2 separate regions of the Mus musculus genome follow, and region 2 is reported to be linked to region 1. The links are microRNA targets in miRTarBase. Many come from high-throughput screens and were not tested one by one. Region 1 holds a microRNA gene; the other region holds the end of a gene's coding sequence.

What was found. Region 1 holds the annotated microRNA mmu-miR-874-3p (CUGCCCUGGCCCGAGGGACCGA, at 7,832-7,853, opposite strand). A microRNA usually pairs through its seed, bases 2 to 8, with sites in the 3' UTR of a target mRNA and lowers its output. Matches are read on the target gene's strand: a 7mer-m8 pairs with bases 2 to 8, a 7mer-A1 pairs with bases 2 to 7 and ends in A, and an 8mer does both.
Region 2: miRTarBase lists Arpin as a target of mmu-miR-874-3p. Seed matches in the 3' UTR shown: 7mer-m8 at 5,871-5,877.

Annotation. Positions count from the first base shown.
Region 1 is chr13:58,015,304-58,030,757 of GRCm38, forward strand. Mir874 (microRNA 874) reads right to left here and starts at 7,897; the gene lies at 7,822-7,897. Klhl3 (kelch-like 3) reads right to left here. Exons shown (of 15, transcript NM_001362415.2): 8 at 15,110-15,259; 9 at 4,066-4,183; 10 at 3,494-3,691; 11 at 1,143-1,244.
Region 2 is chr7:79,916,613-79,932,066 of GRCm38, reverse strand. Arpin (actin-related protein 2/3 complex inhibitor) reads left to right here. Exons shown (of 6, transcript NM_027420.4): 2 at 189-264; 3 at 2,362-2,494; 4 at 3,689-3,895; 5 at 4,278-4,441; 6 at 5,217-6,708. The coding sequence ends at 5,225. 5430400D12Rik (a long non-coding RNA gene) reads right to left here and starts at 11,418. Exons shown (of 2, transcript XR_003946805.1): 1 at 11,128-11,418; 2 at 5,790-11,018. It overlaps Ap3s2 (adaptor-related protein complex 3, sigma 2 subunit), which reads left to right and starts at 11,427. Exons shown (of 6, transcript NM_009682.3): 1 at 11,427-11,558. The coding sequence starts at 11,490.

The DNA.
Region 1 (15,454 bases):
CCTGCACATTCTTAGAAACACTTTCTGCCGTCATGAGGCAGCACACAGCCCATAGAGCGTCAGGTGCAGGGTGGGCAAGAGAAACAAACTCCCAGCTTCCCTCTACACCTGCAGGGCAAGCCATTTGCCTGCCCTTCTGTAAGCAGACACACTGACACTGCCCGTGTCACGGGCAAGATTTCCAATCTCTACCATTGAGACACCTCCGCTAACCCTATCAGCCATTCGAATCTTGTATCAGCTGAAGCAAGCAGGCTCTTCCTGAATGTGCATGCTGTTTTTAGCTGCTGGTCTGTTGGCTGCTCCTGGCTGAGGAACGAGAAGGGAAACGAAAAGGGAAACAAGAAGCCAGCTAGACAACGCTCTTGGATGTGGCTGACAAATGAACTTGTATCTCTCCAAGAGGATACAACTTATCCTGATAGGGGGACAGAATCCTGGCCTCTGTGTCAGGACTGAACTCAGAAACTTCTACCTATCAGCAATTGAGACCTGACTCTGGCTCCAGATTAGGAGTCATAAGACCTTGAGGACTTCTCTGCTATTTACTATCATAAGACAAGGACTCGGTTTCCCACTGAGAAAAATCGGAGTCCTGCCTGTGTTCTTCCAGATGGCTTGAAAGAATGAGTAAAAGAAAAAAGATGTTTTACGAACTTCAGGGAACGCCCTCCTGCCTTAGCCACAACCCCATACTTAGCCTATCTGGGGACATGTCAGACCTGAGAAAAAGAAGCCCGCATTTCTCACATCCCTGCTAGCATGCAACACATAATAATTATGCAAGCATAATTTGTACCCCTCCCTGCTACAGTGTACCCCAGTTTGTATGTTGATTCTGAGCTTCCAACATCCTTCCCATCCCCCACTGTTAGCAGAGATACAAGGGACAGGCTGTCACTTTCCCCCAAGTGTCCTCTTTCTCCCCCAACCTGCTGACCCCCTTCGTAGCCTTGGCTCAGGAGTTTCCCCACCCAGTCTCAGCCCTCCTAGTCTGTTTACTAGAGACAATGAACTTAACTCTGGTCAGTGACCTTAAGAGTGGAGCCCACAGTAGAGGGGGCATCAAGCACAATACTGGACTCAGGACAAGACCCACGGGCTAGGGTAGGAGCAGCCACCACCCTCTGCTACCTCCTTACCCTCCACAACACCCACTCCCACGCTGCTCCGCCGTGTGTTCATAGGGGCCACGAAGAACCACTCATTGGTCTTGTAGCTGTAGGCTTCTACGGATGCCAGGCCTGGGGAGAAGAGAATGGTGGGATTTCTACAGCCATGGGCCTCGCTATGACGTGTGAGGAATGCTGAGACCAGGAAGAGATGAGGGCAGGTCTACAGACTCCATATCTAGCTTGGTACACCTCTGCCTAGTGTGTGGCCATGGTAACTCCTCAATCTGCACAAGGTGACCACTGACTACCAATGGTTCTGTGACATACAAGGGAGCTGGTAAGAAAGCTAGGGGTATGCCCTAACTGTACTATAGATACGAGCCATTAAACTTACAGAATGGGACATTTGATCCCAAATAAACGCCCCATGATGCCCCTACTGGGCACCAGTCCCAACCCCCTTCCCGTGTCTTCCTCTATTTTACAAGCTAGATGGCTAAAAATGTACCTCCCAAGATCCCATGCAGGTAGGTGACCCTGAGCCCTAGGCAGAATTCTGACGAAGATTTCTGGGGTTCCCTTGGCATTTCTGATGCAGGGGTGACCTCTTTCCGCTTCTTGCTACTAGAGACACAAGCACCCTGGCTGGAGTCAAAGCAAACTATATTGTGATCATGGGAGAAGCCCTGAGGATCTTAAGGTACTCTGCCCCAGTATCTGTGTGCAGTCAGACCAATTGGGAACAGTGACCCCTGAATTCCATGCTTCGTCTCTGGAGTAATACAGCAGTCAGCCAGGCTTTCCCCTCTGCCGAAGAAGTTCCACTGCAATAACCATCTATGCCCTTCTTAGCTTATGCTCACTGAGGAGCTGTCAGAGAGACGTTCAATAAAGAAAAACAAAACAAACAACACTGCATTTATCTCCCTCAGAGACAGAGACTACTGCTGTAGATGGAGTCACTGTCTTCGATAAACTGCCTGGCTCAGTATCCTGTCTGGTGACGTAAGCACAGATGTCCTCTCTCCAAACTCACACCCACTAACACTTCAAATTGAAATGTTTACAATTGTTTCTTATGTGTGTGAGTGTTTGGCCTGCATGTATGTCTGTGCACTCCATGAGTGCAGTGTCTGTGGAGGCCAGAAGAGGTCATCGGATACCCTGCAACTGGAGTTACAGATGCTTGTAAGCTGCCACACGGATGCTTAGAAATGAATCTGGGTGGCACATGCCTGTAATCCCAGCACTTGGGAGGCAGAGGCAGGCGGATTTCTGAGTCCCAGGCCAGCCTGGTCTACAGAGCAAGTTCCAGGACAACCAGGGCTATACAGAGAAACCCTGTCTCGGAAAGCAGAAGGAAAGAGAGAGAGAGAGAGAGAGAGAGAGAGAGAGAGAGAGGAAGGGAGGGAGGGAAAGAAGGAAGGAAGGAAGGAAGGAAGGAAGGAAGGAAGGAAGGAAGGAAGGAAGGAAGGAACCTGGGACCTGCGGAAGAGCAACCGATGCGTGCATTCGTTCTCTCTCTCTCTCTCTCTCTCTCTCTCTCTCTCTCCAGGTCCCAGGTTGAAAATTTTGAAGTGAGATAAAATGCGGGGGTGAGGGGCCCCTGAGCAGTGATATAGCCTGCAGGGCTCTATGGGACAATAGAAAAATTGATGGCCAATCGGGGTGCAGTGCCTGCTCTGAGCCAAGCACCTTAGGCCCCAATCTTAAGGTCCCTCAGCTGCTCTGTAAAATGTTCAGACTAGAATCCTGAGGCAGATCCCATCAGGGCAAACCCCTTCCTCTACATGATGCTCTGAGGAAACAGGCTAAGTGTGGGGAGATAAGGAAGGGACCCTTCTGCGTGCGGGGGCCTCCTCAGGATGTATTGTGTCACAGAGTAGCTATGGCTACAGAAGTCTTGTTTCCACCGACAGAACTGCGTAACTGAGGAGGAAAGCACTTAGGAGTCTGGTTCCTGAGTGCCCTGGAGATCCACATTTACACTGGAGGCTTGTTCTCGAGTAGTGGCGCTGGGAACTGGCGGGACCTTTGGGAGAGGATCCTTAGCACTGGAGGTGACCTTTAAGATCTCAGTCTCTCCCCTTCCTCCTGCTTCCTGGCTAATGAAGAGAGCAGTTTCACGTGGCCACACTGCACCATGATGAAAGATCTCACCACAGGTCCACACGGGCTATGGACTGAAACCTGCACAGTGGTGAGCCACGGGATACCTTTTCTGTGTGAGCATCTTGTGTCGGGGAAGGAGAGCTCACTAGATCTGACAGGTTCATTCCCGGGGCATCGCTACAAGGCACAGAGACGAGCCCAAGAGCTGACCGAGCAAAGCAAGGTTGCCCAGAGAATAAGGAATGGCAACGTGGTCCTGGACCTACCGGTACTGCCGTCGAAGCCTCCGACTGCGTAGAGAAGGTCATTGAGCACGGCCGCACCCAGGGTGCTCCGGCGCTCCTGCATGCTGGCAATGGACGTCCACTGGTCCTTCACTCCATCGTACACATCCACTGTCCGGACCCGCAGAGAGCCGTTAAAGCCACCCACGGCATACACGTGGCCTGCCATGAACACCACACCTGTGATGCAGGAACACAGGGCATGAGAGTCGGGGATGGGGATGACTGCCCAACCTGATGGGTGACAAGGTAGGCTTATGACAGCCTCCTGGGGAGGCTACCACCAGCTCGAGACACCTGAGAGTGATTACGGGACTCAGCTCTCCCGTATTTGTCTAATATCACCTGACTTGTGCAAAGTCCAGAATCAGCTTAAACTCATAAGCACATAAGAACTGACTTCAAAGCAAGTAGCCCCACAGTGCAGGTAGGAAGGGGGTCTGCAGTGATAAGGAGCAAGGCTTCATGGCTGTCACGGCCATCATGAGGCAGACATCAGCTGAGGAAGAGCTGCTGGGAACCCAGGTGAGTCAGGGCTGGCCAGGGCCGCTTACCTGCTCTGCATCTTCTGGAGGGAAGCTCGGCTATCTGGTCCCAGCGGCCCTCCTCGAAGTCATAGCACTCCACGCTGCGGATCGCCTTGGGTGCCTGGCCACCAACCACAATCATGACCTCAGGAAAGACAAGTGCATGGTAACTAACACGCACGGGAACGGATAGCCAACCCGTGGCCCTTCCATGGGCTGCCTGCTAGCTTGTGGTGCTAAAGACAGGAAAAGGAAGCCTGTGACGGTTTATATAGGCTCGCCCCAGGGAATGGCACTATTAGGAGGTGTGGCCTTGTTGGAGTAGGTGTGTCACTGTGAGCATGGGCTTTAAGACCCTCACCCTAGCTGCCTGGAAGCCAGTATTCTGCTAGCAGCCTTCAGATGAAGATGTAGAACACTCAGCTCCTCCTGAACCATGCCTGCCTGGATGCTGCCATGTTCCTGCCTTGATGATAATGGACTGAACCTCTGAACCTGTAAACCAGCTCCAATTAAATGTTGTCCTTTATAAGAGTTGCTTTGGTCATGGTGTCTGTTCACGGCAGTAAAACCCTAACTAAGACAAAGCCCTAGTCACTGGTGGCGGGGGGGGGGGGGGGGGGAGGTGTGCATATTCAAGGAAAGCCTGCATGTCAACATGTCAAGTACAGAACAAGTATAGGCACACGTCTTCCGAATACCCTCACTTGGGATCCCGTGATACTAAAAGCATCTTCTGTCAGCTCAGTACCCACAAGATGGGGGGGGGGGGGCACAATTTTTATACTGAGGCAAACAAACCTATGTGAGGTGGAAAGCACAGATTTTTGGATACATTTTTAGAATAATATGATGGCACATAAGTATTTCTAAGTATCAGGACTGCAGAGGGCACCTATCATCATCTATGGTAAAGAAAAAATAATTTCTAAACACTCTGGTGGTTTTGGTGGCTATTTGAGTTACTTAACTGACAGTGTTCTGGGAAAAAAATGGTACATAAAGTGTGTGTGTGCGTGTGTGTGTGTGTGTGTATGTGTGTGTGTGTGTGTGTGTGTGTGTGTGTGTGTGTGTGTGTGTGTTTCTCTCCTACAAGTAAGACTGTGGCTGACACAGCCAGGCATGCGAGGTGGGTTGTCATTCACTTGTCACTGTGACTGACAGACGAGGAGTATAAGGACCAGAAACCACAAGTAAACGGCCAGAGGTTACTCAGCAAAGCGAGGCAGCGCAGACAGGGAACCCAAGCCCCCTGACATAGACTGTGAGGCTGCCCGGCTCTCTTCCTGTTCTAGACAGGAACTGCAACAATAGCGCCCCTGCAGGGTAGGCTTCATCAGGGAGTCATGTCACCGACTAGATGGGTTGTGACCAGGACACATCAAATTGAACAGCACAGGGAATACACGGTCTGAGTGTTATTTTGTGAAATAGCTGTCCTGGTTAAACACACTTATATGTATATTTTGGAGAGCAGTCAGTTCGTGTGTATTTCTTGCCACTGGGCGTGGCCAAATCAGAGCAAAGCCATTTTTCTGGCTGTGTTAATGAACAGTCTTACTTACTTGTGGCATCTGTGCCCTCAGAACTATCCTATATGCTATTGATAAAAAAAAAAAAAAAAAGAACCAAGGTTCCAAAGAAAACAACAGTCTGCATATTTAGATAAACTTGGGCAAACTCTCACTGCCCCTGTTGGTATCCCTTCCTGGCATTCCAACACCCTTCTTAAGAGGCAGTGTGAAGTGTGAAGGTCCTGGTTAGCCAGCGTAAGCCACGGGGTTGAGCATCATCCAAAGCCTGCCTTATCCACCCCGCAGTCCTTAAACTTCAGGGTTGCAAAAACACAAACCACTGGGCCCCACCTCAAGTTTCCTTCGATTCAGCAGCTCGGCTGAGAATCTAACACACCCCTAACACACAGTCCCGGGAGATGCCAGGGCTCTGCGTCTGCATCAGTGGACACCAAGAAGCGTATCTTCATCCTCTGGCCTGTAGGGATTTCTTGATGGTACGCCATGAACAATTTCTGCTGTGCTGAATTGTCACATTGCTTTCTACTTCATCACTACATGTCACGCAAGAGAGGAGGGGTCATCTATGCCGTGTGCTGGTGGGAGCTCAAACCTCAGGAGAAGAGAAGCCCAAACTGGCAACCATACACAAGATCAACTGTGATGCCAGACTCCCCCACTGCCCATATCGCTGGCTACTGGTTCTTTAGAATTGGTCCACAGTGTCTGTGATCCAAATGCAGGTCACAAAGTCTTCAAAGCTCAGAGGCTTTTCTGGCCTCTAATCTTTTCCAAAGCAAACCAAGACATACAGGCCTGACCTCCCTACAGTGCTCCCAGACTACAGGCCTGGCCTTGATGCAGTGCTCCCAGATCACAGGCCTGACCTCCCTACAGTGCTCCCAGATGACAGTCCTGGCCTCAATGCAGTGCTCCCAGATCACAGGTCTGGCCTCGATGCAGTGCTCCTAGACCACAGGCCTGGCCTCACTGTAGTGCTCCCAGACCACAGATCTGGCCTTGCTGCAGTGCTCCCAAGACCAAGTCTTCATGTGCCTTTCCTGCATGTCTCAGCTCAGAGCCCTTGGTCTGAGTCAGCAGAATCATTCTTGAAGAAAAGTCAGGTTGCATGTTTCCTCCCACCACATCTTGTTTAAATGGCAGCCACGGACATATCCATTGAGTGAGGGGTAGGGGCCATTAATGAGTTCAGCTTCCTGGCAAACTTCAGAGATGTTCCAGCTCCCTCCTCCAGGCTAGCGATACAGAAGTAGTTCTCAACCTGTGTATGGTGACCCCTCGGGTGGTCAAAGGACCCTTTCACAGGGGTCGCCTAAGACCACTGGAAAACACAGAATCCTACATACATTATAATTCAGAACAGGAGCAAAACTACAGTTATTAAGTAGCCACAAAAATAATTGCATAGTTAGAGGACACCACAACATGAGAAACTGTGTTAAAGGGTCTCAGCATTGGGAAGGTTGAGAACGACTGCTTGAAAGCTTCCCAATGTGTCCACAACCTCCATAAAACTTGCATTAAGTGTTTCACTGTCATTTGGGCTAGCCCCAAACTCTTAGACTCGAGGAATCCTCCTGCCTCAGCCTGGTGAAACTACAGACACATGCCATCCCATCATGCCCAGCAACAATGATTAATTCGCTGAGGTGACCCTGGGTAAGGCTAGGTATGCAGAGGTCTAAAGGAAGAGAAGAGCTGGTTCTGGAATAACAATAAAACTAGTTGCCTGTCACATAATCCTCCTAAAAAATACAATGTACTTGAGAGTCTTACAGGTGCCCTGGCGGCCTGATCCCAGGTCTCAGCTGTTGCTGTGTTAGGGGACTGCAGTTCTGCTTGCTGGAGATTTCTGGTTGCCTGAGTACAGGCAAACTGAACTCCACCTTGACAGGATGGTCATTAGCACCTCCCAAGGAGAACACTGTCACTATGGAAAGTCAAACGGCCATTTATCTTGGTGAGGCTGCTGCCTGGTTCTTAAAACGGCAACTGCTTGCTGAGTGAGTTTGCACGCACACATTCAACACTCTTTCGCTGTCCACTACTCTGCTTCCGGGAGAACGACTGTGAGAATAAACACGCCGGAGCAGATGGTAAACGTGTGTGGATCGAGACTCTAACCCTGGCCACAGGGGATGTCCAGTCAGGTCTGAGGGCTGCCCGGGCTATGCACACTCTCTTCAAGGGGCAAGAGTGGAGTGTGTCCAAACTCTCTTCCATGACAGGTGAGCTGGGCAGAAAGCAGGCCCAGCCAGTCGGTCCCTCGGGCCAGGGCAGGAAGTGAGTCTCTCTTACCCTGGTGCGTGGGGCCGCAGGGCTAACACCAAAAAATTCATCCGAAGGAAGTGTGTCCAGTAGAGTAGAAGACTGGTCCACGCAGGCTCCTAAGCAACAGGTGCCCCTTGCAGGAGCTGATGGCAAGAAACAATTGGGGGTGGGGCGGGGATGGGGGCGGAGCATGTGTCAACCAGAAAGCAGGAAGGCAAAGTTCAAAGAGAGACTAAAGGGTTGGAAAGACAATGGACACTGGGGTCAGACACATCTGGGCTCAGCCACAAGCCCATTACTAGGCAGCTGTTGAGCACAGGCATTACTAGTCAGCTGCTGAGCACAGGCATTACTAGCCAGTTGTTGAGCAGGCATTACTAGTCAGCTGTCTTGAACCCAGGCATTACTAGACAGCTGCTGAGCACAGGCAAGATTTCCAACCTCCATAGGCCTCACTTTCAGCACCTGCATTATCTGAAAACCAGGACCTTTCTCACACGGTTTCTGTAGGCTGGCATGGTACGGTGCACTTGCTACCAGGCTTGGCAAACCACAAGCGGAGTCATTAGGTAGGTACTGGGTGCCATTATAGATGCTCGAGTGGTTTGCTAAAAGAGACTATTGGGAATGTAGAAGAGAAATATATGTGAGCCTTGAATGAGAGTGAGGAGTAAGAAGCCCAGGGGCCACGGTGAGGGTCATCAGGGTCCTAGAGTGTTTGGTGGGGCGTGGAATGAGATGGAAGAGAGGCGGTGCCAATCAAGGGGCTTGGGCCAGGTGTGAGGTCACCCTGTCTACCTGCCTGCCTGCAGCCTTAGCCTCCAACAGTTTTATCTAAAAACAGGACAGTCCCAATCAGGAGCAGGCTGCCATGCCCTGCATATGCCCATCCTAAACGGCTTTTTGTATCATTTCTGAGGGGGTGGACAAAGGTGCCCACTGAGCTGGAATCACAGGAAAACACTGTGCTCAGAACATTCCTGACGGTCTCCTTTACTCCTCCTGGAACCTGATTTTGTTTTTCTTGCTGCCATCTGTGGATCCGGGCAATGCAGGCAGGCAGGCTCTGAGACTGAGAGGCAGCCTCTGGTTGTCCATAGCAACCCAGCCTCAGGGGGCATGCTGGGTGCCAAAGGTGTGGGAGCCAAGATGGTATTAGCTGTTTCTGCTGGAGTGTATCAGGATGAGCTGCCTGTCCCCAGCTCGGGAACACATTCCTGTCACCCTCTGAGGCTATCTCAAGGAAGTCTGCCTCTCTGTTTCAGGGAAAGGACTTTGCTAGCAGACAGTCACCACTGCTGAGAAATGCTGAGACCGCGCTAATCTCTCTCCCCTCCCTCCAATTCTCCAAATTGGGTGCATCAAAAAGCCTGTCTGGGCTGAAACTGTGACAGCTCAAACCAGTCTGCCCTTGGAATTCCCCGCCTGTTCCTCCGTGTAACCCACAGGCCTCTGCGTCCTTCCTTGGCCATCCGCAGAGAGATTTCCTAGGAGTCAGGGCTCAGGTGCCTTCCCACAGAGGACTGAGATAAAAGGCTTCTGTGTCATTTGGAGGCCATGCCATAGAAGAGTTTGGAGCTCGCCTCACCTACAGCCTAAATCTTGGCCTAACCACCCTCTGGCTGCACTTCAAAGACAGGGCAGACACCTGATCCTCCAACTCAGGCTCCAAATTAATTCCTCACCCTATATGTGTGTGCTACCTTGGTGATTGTGTCTATCAAAGAGAACAGCAAAGGTGATGAGGTGGATGTCCTGTGATGAGGTCACAGCAAGGCTCTGCCTTGAGTGTGCCCCTCGCTTTCATGCATTAGAGTCCCTCACTGGAGAAGCAAGCGACCTTGCACAGGGGAAAAACTGAAGACTGCCAGCAACCATGGGAATGAGGTTTTCCCTAGATGAGCCTTCGGGTGGCTGACACACTGACCACCAGCTCGGCTTTGTGGGAAGCCAGAGCTGGCACAGTCCAGCTAAGCCACCCTGGGGCACCCACCCTCAGAAACTTCAGGACACTCAATGTTTGTTGTGTTGAGCCAGGAAGGTTAAGGTAACTCGGACTATGGAAACAGACGATGGCAAGTAGGCAGCATGCACCTATCTTCAAAACCGGGTGATTTTAACTGTGAAAGCTCTCTGAGGGAATAACTGTAGGGAACTTAGCACACTGCTAGGTAACTGAGATCCGGGACTGTCATCACCATGGCGACTATCATGCCTTGCATAGCCATGGACCAGCTGGAAAGCCCTAGGTGAGTCCCTGAACCCTAGTGCATCCCAGGGTTCTCCACCAGCAGAGCTTCCTGACCCACGAAGACAGCGCATGTTTAATGCTCAGCATAAAACGCTGAGAGGCTGCCTAGCAACTGCTATGTAAGCAATATCCCGTGATACTGTGGACGCTTCTGGTGACAAGGACAGAGGTGGAGAAGAAGCAAGATCACCCTGAGCTGCCATCAGAGGGTGGGACCGGGTACCCAGTGGGGAGCTCCTCAGACAGCCTGCATGTACCTAAGTGCTCCAGCCAGCAGAAAGCTTCTCCTCTTCTCCTCCACAGAGCAAGGGCATCTTTGGCATTCCCTCGTTATGACCCTTATATCATGGGAACTGCCCGGTACGTCTGATTCCCCTCCCTTCGTTTGCAGTCTCTTGAAGAATGGATGGTTCCAAGTCTTCGCCTGTCTACACCTACCCCAGTGCTGGGCAACTGTTGGTTGAGCTGGATGAGTTCCTAGGTGACTGGGTACAGCCAAGTGCAGGTGGCAGCTGAGATTTGTCTATTTAATCCAAGTGTCTTGTGGTCTCCCAGGAGTGGTGACTAGGTTCACTCGGCGTTGTGTGGTTTTGCGGGCTGAACTGAACATTCTATAAAGCAGGGTGCCCGTCCTTGCTACATCCATGCAAAATCACACGCGTGGCTACTGAAGGCAGCAGGGAACAAACAGGAGGTGAGCAGTCAGTCAGCACTGGGTCCAGGATGGTTATTTCTTCTTCTAAAATATCAATCGTTCATGAGAGTGCTGCTATCAGACCGCCCCAAGCCAGGACCCAGGCTGTATGCCAAGGACACCAGCAGATAATGCCTGCCTCCCACAGCACATAGCTCAGGGTGGAAGTGTATACTGCAGAAGAGAACCCTCAATAGTTGTCAAAGCCTCAAGCTGCGTGTACATGTTGCTCCGGAAACCACCAACTCCGGTTCTTCCCAGATCCAAATAACTTCCCTTCCCTTCACCAAATAACCTTCCCCAGCAATCACAGTTCCACAGATGAGCAATAATCTAGTAAAGATCAGGCTTTAGGAAGAAACCATTGTGGTGTGAACGGTCAGCACCAATTTTCCCATAAGTCGATGGCAGTGCACTTGCGTGAGCCCCTAGAATCAATTCCTAGTGCTGCCCACGGAAAAACAACATTGATAATTGTATCGAAATCAAGAACACCCATCAATAAATCTGACAGCGAACAGTCGAAAGTCATACATGGACAAGATAAAACATCGCTGAGAGAAGTCACTGGGCCAAATAAACAGGAGCAGACTGAGGCCAACCATCAGATAACTCCTCCCCCGCCCCAATCCCCACTGACCTAGAGATGGAATCCAACCCCGATGACTCCTGCAGCTTTTCTTGCAGAAATAATGAGCGGACTCTGAAGTTAGCAAAACCATGCCCAAGAATAGAACAGTCAGGAATACCTCAGACTTGAAGCCAGTGAGCAAGGTAGCCTAGTGCTTGCATGAGGCAGACAGACGAGCCAAGACACGGAGTAGAAGCCAGGGACAGACCAGGGGGCACAGACTCAATGACTTACAGTAGGGCAAGGACTAAGAAGGGGTGGGCCCTTTCAACATGTGGTATGCTATAACCAGATATTCGGATAAAGAATAAATCAGTTATATGACCCTTACTTCATATAACATATTTTGAAAATATTCTGAAAATGATCCATAGACTTTAAATCTTCAAACTTACAGGGAAAAGTATAAGTTAAGTGAAGGGTGGGTTGGGTTTTTTTTTTTTTTTCAGTTTAAACTCAAAATAAATCACAACAGAAAAAAAAATTGAAACTGTCAGGCGTGGGCATCTGCTCTTCCAAGCGCCGATACTTGGGAAGACAGTATGGCGGCTCCTCAGAAAGTTAAAAATAGTCTGACACATGAGCCAGCAATCCCACTACCACATACATATCCCAAGTCCATGAAATCAGTATGTCAGAAGGCGCCATCGCTACAGTCTCGTCCATGAAGGCTGAGCTACAGCCTCAGCCTTTGTCTATGATGACAGGACAGAGAAGCCACCACACAGCACAGTGGGATATTATTCGTCCTGAAAAAAGGAAGGAAATCTTGTCATTTGCAACACATTTGAAGGGAGAGGGCTTAACACTAAAGAAATAACCCAGGCACAGGAAGACAGCTCTCATCTGCATGCAGACTCTAAAACAGGTAAACACGGAGACAGGCAGGACAGTAGTTACAACGGAGAGTGAGGAAGGGATGATAGCCAGGGAGCCATTAATTAAAAGATACACAGTTTCCCGTGCATGCAGAAAGGCTAATTCAAGAGCTCTGCTCCACAGCATAGTGACCACAGTTGATAAAATGCTACATTGTTGAAAATCATTAAGAGTAAAATGTAAATGTTCTGGCTATAAAAATAAGTAAATAAATAAATTAATTAATTAATTAAATGGATGTGGCCAAACCATATGTTGGATTGCTCGGTTTTGCTGCTCTATAATATATAATACTTCAGAATATTTGAAATCATAATGTACATGATAGACATATACCAGTTTTCTTGTCAGTTGAAGTCACTGATTTTTATAAGTGCTGCTCTTCCAAAGATGCTACTGAGAAGACCAAAATTTAAGCAGGAATCGGAAGAGAATTTCATAAACAGCTGAGAAGGAAAACCGCAAACTAAAAAACTATGCACACACAAAGACCTGAGCCCTTCAATACAGAAAAGGCCCTTAAAAAACTGCTGTTAAGAACACACATTCCACCAGAGGCAGGGACAGAGGGCATAAGCAGAGCATCGCCACCAAAAGAAGTATGAATAACGACATGAAAGCAAGATCAATATCATTCAAGATTAAAGAGACACAAATGAAGATATGTCATTTAATAAAGAGTACTTGACACAGATATACTCACACTACAAAAACAGAATTATTCCAGAGACCATCAACAGTGGATCGTGAAGTGGGCATGGTACAGACATACTGCAAAGCCCCCAGACCCATCACTGCGCCAATGCTGACTTGCTCCGTACCCTCCATTTGTAGCGCTTGCTTTAGTGGGGGCAAAGAGACATGGTTCAGCCTTCACAGAAGATCCCACATACAGGAAAAGGTGCATCTTCAGATATCCCCGAATAAATGTGCAGAGATACTGCTGAAAGGAAAACTCGCCAAGGCAGCTCCGGGTGACTGTTACTTCTAAACTGCAGTGTGGTTTTGTAATATGCAATATACTTATATTTCTACAATTAAAGAAATATAAATTTCTTCACTTTCAAATGAAGGGTGAGAATAGGCCAGCAAGATGGCTCAGTGGGTAAAGGCACTTGCCACCAAGTTTTAACAACTGGAGTTCAGTCCCAGGCTCCCACAGCATGGAAGAAGAGAATGGACTCCCACAAGTGGTTCACGCACACGTACATGCACATGCACGCGCGCACACACACACATGCACACACACACACACACACACATGCACACATACACACACAAACACACACAAAGAGAGGCAGACAGACAGACAGAGGCAGAGAGAGACACAGACACAGAGACACACGGAGAGAAATGTAATAAAATATTTAAAAGTCTCATCTTAATGTTTCAACAAAAACAAAAGACACTGAAGGACTGTAAGGCAAATGGCCAGAGAGAACCAGTCCCTTTTGTACCCTCCCCTAAGAGGATGTGGTGATAAGAGCAGCCATCAAGCGCACATTCGGGTTTGCACAGGACTAGGTGCAATTTGAAGAACAGGTTCCATCTGGTTCCCACCATTGTGGGCACTGGCTATGCTGACACTCGGGCAAGTCACTGAACCGTGAGCCTCAGTTTCCTTCGTAGAACTAAGGCTTGTAAGCACCGGTGTTTGGGTAAAACACACCTACGATGGCTAGTTTACGTCAACCTGACACATCTGGAGTCATCTGAGAGGAGGAAACCTCAGCTGAGAAGATGGCCCCACAAGACTGGGCTGCGGGCAAGCCTGTAGAGCATTTTCTTCATCAGTGATTGGTGGGGGAGGACTCGGTTCTGGCTGGCTGGAGCCTCCCCTGGGCTGCTGGTCCTGGGTTCTATAAGAAGCAGGCTGAGCTCCTCCATGAGGAGGAAGCCAGTAAGCAGCACCCCACCGTGGCCTCTGCATCAGCTCCTGCTCCAGGTTCCTGCCCTGCTTGGGTTCGCGTCCTGACTTCCCTCAGTGATGAAGCCAGATAAACCCTCTCCTCCCCCATGTTGTAGCTGACCACAGTGCGTCATCCTATCAGTAGTAACCCTAAGACAACCTTGTGCCCTCAGCTAGGCGTTTGACACATGGGAAGAACTTCATCTAAAACACGTTCCTGGTAGCACCCTGCTGTGTCAATGGGCTCAGTCTGGCCTCCCTTCCCTGCCCTCCCTTCCCTGCTGGGTCAACTGAGACCTTCCTCCAGCCCCACCCTCACTTGCTCACCCCACCCACATCAGTGTTAAGAGGTGGGAAAATTACTGCTGAGCCTGAGGACTCCTAGGGACCACCAGTGAGAGACATGAAGGAGAGAGAGAGAGAGAGAGAGAGAGAGAGAGAGAGAGAGAGAGAGAGAGGCACTCAGCACCCACTAGCACCTACCTTCCTTTTCTCAGACTCTTCCTTCTCATTCCCTGACTTTCCACCCGTTCCACTGTCCGGAGGCCTGACGTCTGCTTTGTCAGCCCAGCTGTCCTTCATATCCCTTCCCAGGTGAGGAAAGGCACCAGACTGGGGGAGTCCTGACTCCTACACTCCAGCATGCCCCGTTCCTCTGCCTCTCTTGGAACAGCACACATCAGCGTGCTGGAAGCTCCCTACCACTGCTGTGGCCACCCTGAGACTCTAAGCAAAGCAAGCTTCTGGCTCACAGCCGCTGCGCTAGCAAATTCAAGAGGAGCCAGCAGACACCATCTCTTGGGTCGTAAATGCAACCGGAAGCCAGAAAGAACTAAGGCTGAGGGGAAGCCGCTTTCCCTGGGCATTCCTGAGCCGAGGCCCAGGCTGGGCTGGGGCTTACCTTGGGCAGGCTGACTGGAGTCCGGGGCTTGGTCCTGGGGTTCTTGATCAAGAGCCTCTGGTCAAGAGGCAGGAGGTGGTACTTCATGGCTTCGATGAGGAAGTCCTTACAGGTGTTGTTGTTCTTGATCAAAGCTTCCTCCTCAACTGTCTGGGGGTAACAGCACACGGGTGAGCCTCCAGCAGAGTGGGGCCACAGTTCCCTGAGCTCTCCCCAGGCCGGGACATTCCCAACTCTCACTCATCCCTTCTACCCCACACCACCTCAGACTCTGAGAAAGGCCCACAGAGTTCCAAACTACCACATAGAGTCCCGCCTCTCAGCCCTGTTCCACCACATTGAACC
Region 2 (15,454 bases), not on the chromosome of region 1:
CTTTGAAGCAATAGAGGAATGATGGTGGAAGCAGAGTGTGGTTCCTTTTTCCAGGCCTTCTCAGAGACAGGTGACAAGGAGACAGGGGTAAGACTTGTTTCTGTCTCAGCGCAGATTCTCACCCAGGCCGTTGAATCCGAGGGTGGCTTTCTTGAGGACTCACAATGAGCATCCTTTCTCATCCCCAGGGGAAATGGCATCTTGCTGGAGGGGGAGCTCGTGGATGTATCTCGGCACAGCATCTTGGATGCCCATGGCAGGAAGGTGAGGCCGTATCCTGGTTGGCCCTCCCAGGGTCTCCTCCCTCACCCACATGATATCTCCTTGTGCTGGGTTAAGATCCGTTACTGAGGTCACAGAACAGATTGCTACAGCCAAGCAGGACTGGTAAAAGGGGGACTTACAGAGCCTTGCAGTGGGTAGCAGACAGATGAGAGGGACTACATGGTTCTTGCAAGAAGAACCTCTGCTACGACTGAAAAGACAGACAGGCCCCCAAACCCAGTCTAGCCTGAATATACAGAGCTCATGTTGACATCCGGGGTAGCCGCTCCTGTACAACCTTCTGTCTGTGCTTCACAGCCTCTTCAGGATGTGTTCCTAGCCCACACAGTCCAGGTGTCCATGGGCACTCACAGCGGTCAACCTGTACCAGCCCACATCCCTTCTGGGTCCTTTCAGACAGCCTCTTCTAGCGCTGACCACACTGTCTCCTGGGTCCTTGGTCTCTAAATCTCAGCTTAGCATCAGGCCCTCCCAAGGTGGGCTGAGGCCGGATTCTTCATTCAGCCTTGTCCGTCTGTCTGTCTATGTATCTATGTATCTATGTATCTATGTATCTATCTATGTATCTATCTATGTATCTATCTATGTATCTATCTATGTATCTATCTATCTATCTATCTATCTATCTATCTATCTATCTATCTATGTATCTATCTATCTATCTATCTATCTATCTATCTATCTATCTATCTATCTATCTATCTATGTATGTATCTATCTATCTATGTATCTATGTATCTATGTATCTATCTATCTATGTATCTATCTATCTATCTATCTATCTATCTATCTATCTATCTATCTATCTATCTATCTATCTATGTATGTATCTATCTATCTATCTATCTATCTATCTATCTATCTATCTATCTATGTATCTATCTATCTATGTATCTATGTATCTATCTATGTATCTATCTATCTATGTATCTATCTATCTATCTATCTATCTATCTATCTATCTATGTATCTATCTATCTATGTATCTATGTATCTATGTATCTATGTATCTATGTATCTATGTATCTATCTATCTATGTATCTATCTATCTATCTATCTATCTATCTATCTATCTATCTATCCATCCATCTATCTGTCTGTCTATCTATCTATGTATCTATATATGTATCTATCTATGTATCTATCTATCTGAGATCTGAGACAGGGGTTTCTCTATGTAGCCCTGGCTGTCCTGGAACACCACTTCTAGAGCAGGCTGGCCTTGACCTTAAGAGCTCCTCCTCCCTCTGCTGGGATTATAGGTGTGCACCATCATGCTTCAGTATATGCATTTGTGTTATACTCCATGAGAGTAGTCATGCTACTGGCTGGTCGTTTTCATGCCCAGAGATCTTGCCACAACTCTCTGCTCTTTAGATTGCAAGTTGTAGGGGGACACAGCGATCTGGAGTCTCCACCCAGCCTGCCCAGGAGAGCTGTACCAAGCTGGTCTGCCTCAGCTGGCCTGGTGCAGGCAGGTGTTCACCTAGACCCTTTCCAAATGTGTCTCTTGTGCCCTTAACTCTCAACGATACATACGGCAGAAGCCATGTCCTCTTCCATTTTGTCACTGGTTCCTTGTAATGTCCCTGAAAGGACATGTCATGCTATTCCAAGAAAGGTGAAACTGAGGCATACAGAGCTTGGAGTGATTTGCCCACTGCTGTGTCTGTGGGAGTAGCAAGGTGACTGCCCTCCTTGAGGTCATGGCCTTTCTGAGGCTTGCTGGCAACTTCAATCCTGCCTTGTGGCCTGTAGGGACCTTGGTACTTGGATTAAAGTCACAGGCCATTGGCTGTGTGGAAGCCTTGGAGTCGGGCCTTTTGTTGTCCTGCTATGGCTTTTGTAGCATGCTCTATGTGACTCTAGTAAGTATAAAGATGGGTAAAATGAACAAGTATTTAAACGAGGCATCTGTCCAGCCTATGCAGCAGGGTAGCGCCAGGGATGGGATTCTGGAGCCGAGGGTGAGATGGGCAGAGGCTGCAGGGAGAGCCTGGGCTATGTGTTTTGGGTATGCTGGGATTTGGGTAGGGAGTGAAGGAGTCCCCTCACCCTTTCTTTGCCTCATCCAGGAGCGCTACTATGTGCTGTATATCCAGCCCAGCTGTATCCACAGGCGTAAGTTTGACCCCAAGGGAAATGAAATTGAGCCCAACTTCAGTGCCACCAGGAAGGTGAACACAGGCTTCCTCATGTCATCTTACAGTAGGTATCCTGGGCTCTTCCTTTTCTAACAGCCTTCCAAGAGGCTGTTAGACTGACTTGTTTGTCTCCTGAGGTCCTTGACAGTGGATTCTTAGCATAACTTGGCTTTGACGATGTTTCTGGCTTGAGCATCCCTTGTTGGATTTCTTCCCTCGAGGCCCTCAGAATTCCCCAGTGTCCCATCTTAGCCCTGGGAGCCAGGCTGGCATTCCTCCTTTTTTTTTTTTTTTTTTTTTTTTGGTTTTTCGAGACAGGGTTTCTCTGTATAGCCCTGGCTGTCCTGGAACTCACTCTGTAGACCAGGCTGCAGGCTGGCATTCCTAATGGCTTCCATCTCCTGAAGTCTGGCAGAATCATTCCCAGGCTTGGCTTCCGGCTCCGACTATCACTGTGCGGGGAGCAGGCCAGGTCCCAGCAGTCTCTCTCGGTTCTCCTACTGGATGTTTGCTTTTTGGCTCTCAGTCTATCTGTGAAGCATATTAGTTACTTTTCTTGTTGCTACGACAAAATGCCTGACAAACCAACTTTAAAGAAGAAAGGGTTTATGTGACTTCCACAGCAGGAAGTCAGACAAGCCCTGGGAACACTGTGCTGGGCGCAGTGGTATTCATGTAAGCTTTCAGCAACCTTATGGATGGCTATGTCTTGGTAAGCCCCACCACCTGCAGGCTTACCACTTGACTTCCTCCCTGAGCTCCTGGGAGTTGCCAGGGCTAGCCTGGAGTAGGCCAGTAGAGGGTGCTGACCACAGGCTGGCTGCTGGATCTAGAACAGAGTCTCAGTGGGAAGGCAGTGGGTGTTTGAATGCTGCCCCAGCTAAGTCTTGGTTTCTCTCACCACTGAAATGGGAATAACGAAAGCAGAGACCCCTGCTGAGAGTGGCTGGAAGCCAGACACTGTGCTAAATGCTCAGCTTGCTTTTTCTCTTCTTTTCTTTTTCTTTTTTTCATCTGTATTGCACACCATTTTTATCCTCATTCTCCAAGGACAAAGAGAAAGATCTCTTGTCCTAGATTGTGCCAGAATCTAGATTTACTCCAGGTAGCCTGGTTCCAGAGTCCAGGCAATGACGCCTCTGCTGTGGGATTCTCTGATGAGCCCTAGCAAGACAGATGTCCTCACCAGCTCCTGAAGATCCTCAGAGAATGTTTCTCCTCCGGGAACACTAACCCTCCTGCACCATATGCTCTACAGAGGTGGAGGCCAAGGGCGACACAGACCGGCTCACCCTGGAGGCGCTGAAGAGCCTGGTAAACAAGCCCCAGCTGCTGGAATTGACAGAGAGCCTCACCCCAGACCAGGCGGTGGCATTCTGGATGCCTGAGTCAGAGATGGAGGTCATGGAACTCGAACTGGGGACTGGAGTGCGATTAAAAACTCGGGGTGATGGTCCCTTCATAGGTGAGCAGTATGACTCGCTTTGCCTGTTCCAATAGCCTCTGGGGCCCCTGGCCACCTTTCAGAGGCTCCCCTTCTTTTGCTTAGAGTAATGGGAGAAGGCCAGGTGGGGTCTCCCATGGGACATGACCTGTGATTTTGAGATTTACTCCCAAATCTGTGGCCAACTGCTCTGGGGCAGTTGGATATAGATCCACTATATCCCAGGGTATCATCTAACTCCTTACTTCCTGTGGCTGACCCTTACTCTCTAATGGTGTGGGAGTCCCACCAAGAACCTTAGTGGTCACACCAGAGAACAACCCAGACTTAGAGGACTTAGAATGAAGGGCCGTACGCTGACTAATCTACCAGGAGAAAGGCCATTGAATTTCTCTTCTTTCAGATTCCTTAGCCAAACTGGAGCTGGGGACAGTGACCAAGTGTAATTTTGCTGGTGATGGAAAGACGGGAGCTTCCTGGACAGACAATATCATGGCCCAGAAGTCTTCAGAGAGGAACACAGCAGAGATCCGAGAGCAAGGAGACGGGGCAGAGGACGAGGAATGGGTAGGTGAAGGGGGCAGCTGTGGAACTGGCCCGGTACTGTTGTGTCTCCTGGTGGGAGTTTATACATAGAGGGTAGGGTTGAGGGCAAAGGAATAGAAGGCAAGATAAATTCCGTGTGCTTCCAGAGAGGGTGTTAGCATCAGGGAATTAACAGAGGGTGACAACCTAAGGCTTTTCTTACTGGAGGAGCTGACCTGCCCTATGGACGGACACAAAGCCCCAGAGATGTATAAAAGCAAGGGTGGGAAGAAAAGATTACAGAAGGAACCAGGGACTCTCCTTTAGTTTGGAAATATTCCTCTTGTAGTGCTACACTCATCATGGGCTGGCCCTTGAGCAACCACATGGTTTTTTTCCTCCTTAGTCTAAACTGGGAAACACTAATGTCTCCTGTGCCGAGGGTTAGCATCCTACTTAGTTTGCGGCTTTTATTTAGTTGTTCATCTGAAGTGTAGTCACCTAAAGGTTTGAATTGATACCTAAAGCCTCCAAATAGAGTAGGTAGAGCAAAGCAGCTGCAGAAAAATGGGGGATTTACCTCAGACATTGACCAAAGGTGAGAGGAGTGAGTGCGGTGGGTCTGGGCTCCCGGCTGACAAGTGGTGGGGTTGCTGGATGGGCTCTGGAGCCAGCTCTGAGGAGGTGAGGCCAAGGCAGTGGCTGAGGGTTCTCTGAATACCACAGGCCCAGACCCTCACCTGAAGATTGCCAGAAGACTGTTATGAATTCGGTCTTACTCACAGCCCTTGACTGGGCCTCTTTGTCTTGTCTCCAGGATGACTGAGGTGCCTCCTCAACTAGACCAGCATCTGGGATGGTGTCGCTGAGAAGTGGCCACACCAACTTCTGCCTTGGAGAGATCAGGCTGTCAAGCAGAATATCATTGAACACCCTCTGATGAAATCAAACCCAAGACCTCAGTACTCACCAAGGGTCTCCAGGCTATGGCTTTTGTATGTCTGTGGCCCTCATTGGATGCAAGGCTAGCTTTCCTAGATCTATCTCCAGTATTCCTTTCCCTAGGTAGCAGGCATGGACTAGATGAGTCCTCCAAGGTACACAATTGACAAAGGCTCCTTGTCTGAGTCCAGAGGGACTCAGGGGGTAAGAGCGCCGGCTCTTTCCAATCCTGCAGTTTTCTCCTTTTTTTGCTTTCTACCCTGTGCCAGCTTCTTTTTGTGCCTCTGTTCTCCTGTCCCAGTCTTCCTCTGTCTGTTCTTCCCTGTCCCACACCCAAGATACCACTTCATTATTTCTATTCAGCTCTGTGCCTCTGTGGGCTTTCCTGCCTTAGATCTCTGTCTTAGGGCTCTTACTGCTCCAATGAAACCCGACGACCCAAAGCAACTTGGGGAGGGAAGGGTTTATTTCACTCACAGATCCGTAGAACAGTTCATCACCAGTAAAGCAGTGAGAGCAGGAGCTCAAGCAGGGCAGGAACCTGGAGGCAGGAGCAGAGAGCGTGGTGTGCTGCAAACTGGCTCGCTCTGTTTGCTTTCTTCTAGAACCCAGGACCACCAGCCCAGTAATGGCATTACCTAGAATGGGCTGGGCCGGGGTACTCTAGCTTCTGTCAGGTTGACATAAAGCTAGTTATCACACACCTATCTGGCTGCTGTCCTAAAGATGCCATTTTTGGGAAGGCCTTCAGCCTTCCCAGCTGTGTCTAGCCGGTCCACAAGTCTTGACTCATTCCACTGGGCCAACTTTTTATATTTTTAAAATATTTTCTTTTTAATAAATAGTGCTGGTACTTAAACCTAGTGCTCCATGCTTGCTAGGTGAGTGATCCACCACTGTCTACACCAACAAGTCCCAGACCGTATTTTTTGGTATGACTCTTTTTGTTGTTTTGTACTTGGAGAACTTCTTAGGAGTGAGTACTCTTCGGGAAAGAATTCCTCCACACGACTGGGTTCTTGTCTCGTGTTTATGGTCTTCTAGCTGAGTCACAATCCTAGACGAGAACCCCAGTCTTAGTGTGCCCCTGCTCAGCCCTGTGACAAGATCTGGAACGGAAGTCTACACGTCTTGAGTGTGACCATGGCAGGTGTACGCATCCTGCCTGATCCTGGGAAAAAGGGTGAGGGAGGACAGGGATTACTGATCCGACTTCATGGTTCAAACTCAATGACAGATGCTTTCTGTCACCAGTACTGACAATACTGAGTTCTTCCTGATGCTAGTGCTTAAGTTAAGTACTTGGAGTAGTCTGTCACAACAACCCTATGATGTACATAGGATAAATATCCCCATTTTTGATACATAAGACTGAGGCTTTGAGGCTCTATGAATTGTATATATCGCCAGAGAAAGGAATTTGCATCCAGGCAGTCAGTTTCAAAGGCTACATTTCCTTTTTCAGAGGGAAGAGCTCATACATTACAGGTTGACCTTGAGCTTGCTGTGTTGCTGAGGATGACCTTGACCTTTGAGACTCCTGCCTTTACCTGCCCAGGGCTGGGATTACAAGCATGCATCCAAATGCCTGGTTTATGTGGTGCTGGGGCTCACACTCAGGGCTTTGGGTATACTAGGCAGGCACCCTGCCACTGAAGCTACATCCCCAGTCCTAAAGTCCACACCCCCACTCCCACATCCTCTTGTTCCTATATCCAAAAAAACTTTTTTTTTTTTTTTTTTTTTTTTCCGAGACAGGGTTTCTTTGTATAGCTCTGGCTATCCTGGAACTCACTTTGTAGACCAGGCTGGCCTCGAACTCAGAAATCTGCCTGCCTCTACCTCCCGAGTGCTGGGATTTTTTTTTTTTTTCTTTTTGAAGGAAGGTTTCAGTATATAGTCCTGGCTGGCCTTGAACTACAGAAATCTGCTTACTTCTGCTTTCTGAATGCTGGGATCAAAGTCTACATTTTTGATCACCAGACTTCTGCTTCCACATGCAAACCATGCACAAGGAAGGAAGAGAGGTTCAAGGGAGGAAGAGAGGTTCAAGCAGGTCAGACAACTAACTCTCTCAGTTCCTAAGGAGAGAAGCCAGGATTCAAGTCCAGAGCTTAGCCTCTTCCTTGTCCCCTGCCACAAAAGGTTCTTGGAAGGCAGGCGTGGTGGCACACGCCTTTAATCCCAGCACTCGGGAGGCAGAGGCAGGCAGAGGCCAGCCTGGTCTACAAAGTGAGTTCCAGGATAGCCAGAGCTAATCAGAGAAACCCTGTCTCGGGAAAAAAAAGTTTTTTGGATATAGGAGCAAGAGGATGTAGAGTCACATCGTTGGTGTCCCCGTATCTGGGGTGGCTTACAGACTAGTCCTGATGGGGCCTTACCCTTGAAGGTGGTGGGGATGTGGTTCTCCATAAGGGTAGCAGGTGAGAGATCACTGTGCTCTGGTCTGCAGCAAAGACAGAGACAGAGAGCGAGAAAAGGGCTCATGCCCAGAGGTATTTAGAGAACAGAACCAAGTCCCAGGAAAGAGGAAGGAGTCAAGGAAGATGCTCATACTCTGGTGTGCACAGTGCTGGGCTGCAGAAGGTTGTTTAGCGGTAGCCCAGCCTGAGGCCAGGCTGAGATCAGACTCCGGGGGAAGGGGAAGCCATATGTTCTGTAGAAAAGAACAGGATCTCAGAGACAGGCTGGAAGTTCATGCCTAGAATTCCTGTGCTTGGGAGGCAGAGGTATAGACAGGGTTGCCATCAGTTTGAGGCTAACTGAGCTACAGACTGAGACCCCACCACCACCACTTCACAAACCCAATACCAAAAACCACGCAAACAAAAGAACATCAAACATTGGTAAGATAGCTCCGTGAGTCAAGGTGCTTTGCCACCAAGCCTGAAGCCGAGTTCAGTCCTCAGAACTCACTTGGTGGGAGAGGGAGCCAACTCCATCAGTTGTTTGCTGACTCATGCACACAGCAGCATCTGGGCACCCCAACATACGCACGCACGCACGCAGGCAGGCATCATGCACGCATGCAAACAAAGAAAAAGTAAAAGATTTCAGGCTTAGCAGTTAGAAAAACCGAGACAAAACCCTCTTCGCAGGACAGAAAGATGGCTTGTCTCAAACTGTGTGGGGTCCGTAAATAGCTGGGAAAGACCCATATTTTCATTCTGTCCTGTTAATAATTGTTATTATCTTGGCTCTTTAACACATAATGTTTGGATGTTACTTTTCCCATTATTGTTATGTCATCACTGTCAAAACACATAGTCATGTTTTTCTTTTTTTTTTTTAATTAGGTATTTATTTCATTTACATTTCCAATGCTATCCCAAAAGTCCCCCACACGCTCCCCCACCCACCCACTCCCACTTCTTGGCCCTGGCGTTCCCCTGTACTGAGGCATATAAAATTTGCACGACCAATGGGCCTCTCTTTCCACTGATGGCCGACTAGGCCATCTTCTGATACATATGCAGCTAGAGACACGAGCTCCGGGGGGTACTGGTTAGTTCATATTGTTGTTCCTCCTATAGGGATGCAGACCCCTTCAGCAACTTGGGTACTTTCTCTAGCTCCTCCATTGGGGATAGTCATGTTTTTTGGGACTTTTGATCACAAATTCCTGGAGCTCTGCCTGTGCTGGCTTCCACAGTGCTGGGGTCAAAGGCACTTACCACCAGCCGACTCCTCACTGTATTTTTGATGGTTGAGAAACAAGATTCTGGAGTTAGATCACTGGGAATTGGCACCTGTAAAAATCTTGTTAGATTACCAAATGGTTTCCAAAAAGGGTTGTTTTGCATCTATTGGTGGTGCACGCCTTTAATCCCAGCACTCGGGAGGCAGAAGCAGGCAGATCTCTGAGTTCGAGGCCAGCCTGGTCTACAGAGTGAGTTCCAGGACAGTCAGGGCTACACAGAGAAACCCTGTCTCGAAGAAAAAAAACAAAGCCAAAACCAAAAAGGATTGTTTCAGACTGCAGTCTCAGTATCAATGGAGGAGAGAAGCAATGCCATGCTACTTTGACCAGAATTGGGGAAGAAGATTTTGAATAAATATTTGATAAAGTGAAAATTATTAAATATACTTTTATTTGCCCTTTCTTCTATTTATAGTGAAATTAAATGTTTTTCATTTCCTGTATCTACTTCTTTAAACAAAAAAGGTTTGGTTTTTGTTTTTTTTTTTGTTTTTTTTTTTGTTTAGATTTATTAGTGTGTGTGTATGGAGGTCAGAGGACAATAAGTTTGCCCTCTGATCATGTGGGTTCTGGGAATCCAGATCAGGTCATCAGGATTGGCAGCAAGCATCTTCACCTGCTGAGACAGCTCACTGGCCCCTGCGTCTTTTTCTTTTGTTACTCCCATTGAAGGATGGCTTCTAGCTTTTGCCTTTCTCCTGCCTCTGTCTCCTGAGTATCGCAGGTATGTGCTGGCATACCAGCTATAGTGCTGGAGACAGAATCCAGGGTTTTGTGTAAGCGCTCTGCCACCTGTGCTACATCTCGAGCTGTATCATTATCATACACATTTATTGCTATTAATGTTGTGTGTGAACATGAGTGCACACGTGCCACAGCAATGAGAGACAAATTTTGGAAGCCAGCTCTCTCCTCTCTTGGGTTCTGGGCATTGAATTCAGTTTGCCAGGCTTAAAGGGCAAGTGAGTTTGCCTGTGGAGCCATCTCCCAGGTCCTTACTCTGTTTTTTCCTTACCTCTTTAATCCACTGTGGCCCTAACATATATGAAAGTATGAAAAAACTAAGCTGCTTTTTCTTCAAAGTGTTAATCAGTTATCTCAATAGCACTTGTGGAATTCCTTCCTACAGCCAAACTATGATAGCCCCTACATCATATATTAAAATTATTTCATGCCAAGGGCTTGGAAAGACTACATCTCTTCCAAACGACTGGAGTTGCTCCCAGCATTCACTTCAGCTGCTTATAAACTCCAGCTCTAAGGTGGCCTCTTCTAGTCTCTGAGGGCACCTGAAGCAACATTTGGACATATACACATACAACATAATTAAAATTAAATCTTTAAAATTGTTTACCACAGACTATTGTGTTATAGTTCAATAATACTTCACCTTTTAATTATGATTTGAGGCTTGTGAGGTAAAGGCACTGCCAAGTCTGATGGCTTACATTAGATCTTTTACACAGCAAGAGAGAACTGACTCCCCAAATTGTCCTCTGATTTCCACACATGCACCGTTGCAGGCGCGTGGGTCCTCTCCAAAAAAATCCATATAAATGTAACTTTAAAACATACTTCAAATTATCCTGCTTGGTTTGATTGGTGGGCAAAGCTGGTTCCTTCTTGCTACTCTGTTTTAGAATTGTCTTTGACATTTCCGTCCAACATTTGAATCATTTTGTCCCACTTCAATGCAATAGTCATTTGAATTTTTATTTACTAAAATCCCAGGGATGTATGTGGTGGTGCAGGCTTTTAATCCCAGCATTTAGGGTCACAGAGGCAGGCGAATCTCTGAGTTCAAAGCCAGGCAGGGCGACACAGTGAGACTCCGTTTCAAAGAAAGATAACATATAAACAAACAAACGAATAACTAAATGAATAAATAAATGAGAAAAGGTGTTACCAGTTTGAGACCAACCGTTCCGTTTATGTGGGATTGGATGAGAGATCCCGTATGATGTCAACTTTCACCATCTAAAGGAGAGAATGACCGTTTGACTGGCAGACTTTTGCCTAATTCACTGCAACATAAAAGCCTAGCTTTTGCTAGTCCAAGGTTAGAAGAAGAAACACAAACACCTACTGGTCCCTCAAACTGGCGCGGCTGCTGGCAGGAATTGCCAGTCTCGATGCTTGCTGCCGACACGGTTGGCTCCAGGATGGAACCAGAATGAGGGGCTCAGTCCCAGCCAGGCTTGGATTCGTTCCCAGGCTGGCCAAGGCGACCGTGCTCCTGGGCTTCTACAGCCGTGCTCCCCAGGAAAGCGCGCCGACCTCTCAGGGTGCCAGAGCGGCAGGACACTTTAGTGCTCGGTGCCCAGGGGTACCGAGACTAAGTTTCCGGGAGCAGCTTTCAGCGGGACACCAACAGGAAGTGTTCGTGTTGTGCCGGAAGAAGGTGCGTTCTTGGAGCAGGTGGTACCGAGAGAAGCGGGACCGGCAAAGATGATTCAGGCGATTCTGGTTTTCAACAACCATGGAAAACCGCGGCTGGTCCGCTTCTACCAGCGTTTTGTGAGTGCAGCCCCACCAACCATGCCCCTGCGGAGCACCAGAGCCATCCCTTCCCCACGGCCCGCAGCCGCGCTCAGCAGCATCTCCTGCTCTGGCACCGTGCATGACCCACCCCCCTGCTCCTCCCTCATCCTTCCTGGATCTTGGCTTTTCTGTGTTTTGTGACACTTTCCCTTGGGTCTTAGGGACAGACTCAGTACACAGTGTGCCGCATTGAGATATTGGGTGACAGCCTCTGTCTTTAGTTTTTTGTTTCTGTATTTGTTTTGTTTTTTAAATTGATGAGCGTAGTTTTGTGATGATCTGGTCGTTGGGTTCTTTTACGTTTATTTTTTCTCAAGGGCATGGAGAGAAGTTCTTTCGTGGAATCACTTGCTTCAGCATTGGCTGGCACTTATCAGGGTTGGGATACTTTTTATCCTGTAAGGTTGCAGAAAGTCTCTTTTAAAATTAGGGGGAAATGAGCTATTTTTACAAGATGCCAGTTGTAGTGGTGCACACCTCAAAGCTCAGAACTCGGGAGATGGAGGCGAGAGGATCAGGACTTCAAAGTTATCCTCAGATACACAGCTAGTTCTAAGCCAGCTTGAGCTACACCAGACCGCATCTTAAGAAATCATATAATTAAACAAATAAACAAATGCCATCATGGAATGCCTCAGCAATGTTCGTGCACATTTGAATTTTCTGGAAACATTTCCTTTGGGGAAACGCAGATGCCGTTCTTTGCCTTCTGTACCCCAATATTTTATTCGTGGTTAGGTTTCAAAATATCCTCCTGAGAGACTGGTTCTGTCTGAGAGGGAATAAAATCAGAAGACTTTCAGGCTTCAGCCCCACCTTTTGTACACGTTAAGAAATGTCTTGCCGGGCGGTTCTGGCACACACCTTTAATCCCAGCACTTGGGAGGCAGAGGCAGGTGGATTTCTGAGTTCGAGGCTAGCCTGGTCTACACAGTGAGTTCCAGGACAGCCAGGGCTTTAGAGAGAAACCTTGTTTTGAAAAACAAACAAACAAACAGAAATGTCTCTGGGTCTTTTATTCCTTTTTTCATCATAAATGAAAAGTATTTGCTTTTTAAAATAGGATTTTCCAACTACGTTTTTAAATAGAACACTGAATACAACTTCAATTTTTTGTTGTTTATGTTTTTCAAGACAGGGTTTACAACTTCAATTTGCACGTGCATTTGTTTCTCCTAGTTTCTAAGTTTTTCACTGAGCTAAAAATCACTATACAGCTACTTAATGTATGCAGTTTAGTGGCATCTGTCACAATTTGAGAACATTTTTATCTCTATTAAAGAAACTTACTGTTAATAATCAACTACCCTGTTCACAATCAACTGCCCTGTCCCTAAGCAAGCAAAACCAAAACCCAACCAACCAACCAACCAACCACCAAAAGAGATCCTACCACAGCCTTCCACATCCTAGAGTTATAGGCATGCACCACTGTGCTCTGCTGGTCATCTGTGTTTCCCAGTAATTGCTCTGAACATTCATGTGTTGAGTTTTAGTATGGACATTTCTTTTTATTTCTCCTGACTTCATATGTAGTAGAATCATTAGGCCACATAATAACTAAGTGGGGAACTGGAAAAGTGTTTTCCTAGTTGTATATTGTTATCAGCAATGTATCAGTATTGCAATTTCTTCATGTCTCCTTCTGAACTAGGAAGGGAATTGAGAGCACCCCTCCTTCTAGGCAGTCCTCCACCACTGAGCTGCATAATCCTAGCCATGTTGTCTTTATTGAAGGCATTTTAGTGGATGAAAATCGATCGCCTTTTGAAATGGTTTTGATGTCTAGTTTCTATAGTGACTAAGGATGCTGAACCTGTCTTGCGCTTATTGGCCATTTGTATATCTCCATCTGATATAGATCATATAGATCATATATATGATCTGATATAGATCATATAGATCACAGAATTGTTTACGAACTGCTGGAGTGAGACTGCCTTGAGAATTGCAGTGTAGTAAAAAGACAGGACGGGTTGTTAAAGTAACCGGGGCATGTAAGCAGTGGGCAGTTTGCCTTTTTGTTGAGCCAGTAGTAAGTTGGCCCCCTTGTTTGATACCACCATCCCATCCCCACTGTTTGCCAGGTCCACCTGTAGGTAGATAAAGGGCTTTAGCTGGAAAGATGTTTTGTCAGTTTGCGTGCTGATGCTTAGTGAGCGTTGTGTTTCTGAGCACACAGAGTTCATCTTTGACAACAGCCTAGCAAACGTGAGCTTGGTGTGCTGTTCACATGGAAACCAGGAAGATCGTGATTGATTTGTTCCAGTTTGTGGGGCAGTGATTGGCAAGTTTGCATTCATACATTCAGTAGATACTGAGAGATTTTCAGAACGCACACTGAGCCAACCATTTCCTCTCAGTGATTAGTTCCCTGTTTTTTTTTTGTGCCCCCCTCCACCCCTCTTAATAGCTTTTAAAGAACTGGCCATTTCAAAGCTAAGATCAGTGGTATAGTATGAAAGGGATTAATTTTTTTAATGTATTTTTCTGGTTTAAGGAACATTGAAGGTGAACATTTTTCTTAGTTATGCAGTCCAGAGTGTAGTTCCTAGACCCGAAGCACTGCTGTTTGTGGGAGCCTGATAGAGCAAGAGTCTCGGGCCCCTGCCCAGGCAGAGGAAAGCCGAAGTGCATTTAAATATCATCCCCAGCCGACTCATCACACCATGAGAAGACTGACCAGAGGGCTTACATTACTCATAGATTTATTTATTTTAAGTGTATGAGTATTTTGCCTGCATGTATGTGTGTACTACATGTGTACCTGGTGCCCTTGGAGGTTAGAAGATGGCATTAGATTCCTTGTAACCATGTTTATTGATGGTTATCAGCCATCACCTGGCTACTGGAAATTGAACCCTGAGCAACAAATCCTCTTAATGGTTGAATCAATTCTCCAGTTCCTAATCTAGAAGGTTTTGTTGTTGTTGTTGTTTGTTTGTTTTCCAAGACAGGGTTTCTCTTTGTGGCCCTGGCTGTTTTGGAACTCACTGTAGACCAGGCTGGCCTCCAAATATCAGAAATCCACCTGCCTCTGTCCCCCAAGCACTGGGATTAAAGGCATGCACCACCATTACCAGGTTCTGATCTAGAATTTTTAACTACTTCGTTTCTGCTAGGTTTCTTCCTTATCCTGTCTGTCTGTTTGTTTTGAGACAGGTTCTTACTCCATATCCCTGGCTGAACTGGAACTTACTGTGTAGACCAGGCTGGCATTGAACTCATAGAGATCCATCCCCCTGCCTCTTCAAGTATTATTATTAAAGCACTACCACTCCTGACTTCCCCCCTTATCCAGGGTCTCACCTTCTTCCGGCTAAGTGCTAGGCTTATACACATGGTCTAGTGCAGTGAGTCTCCTTTCTCCTCTCCTCTCTACCCCACCTCCTTTTGTTTCATTTTGTTGAGATGGGGACTGACCCTGTGGTTCAGGCTGGCCTGCAATTTACCATATAAACCAGGCTGTCCTCCTACTTAGTGACCGTCCTGTCTTAGTTAACCTTGCAGGAGTGAGCCACCATACATGGCTTAAAAAAAAAAAAAAAAGTGTGCCATACCTAGTATTAAACTCTTACATACAAGTGGAAATCAAATGTGATTAATCATGTGTTTCATTCACCGTTGAGGGTTCTCAAGATTACAAGTGACTCTTAAATGAAAAGTGGGGTATTTTTTTGTAGTTTTGTTCAGATGTCCCAAATTCAGATCTGTAAATACATTTTCTCTTTTCCCAGTAACCCTTTGTCTGTGAGTAAAACAGCATCTTATATGCAGTACTGGTATTAAAGTAAAAATGACAAAGTTATCTTTGAGACTGTGCATGATTACATCTTGACCTTCCAGTTCTGGAACTTTGAGAGTGGTTAAAT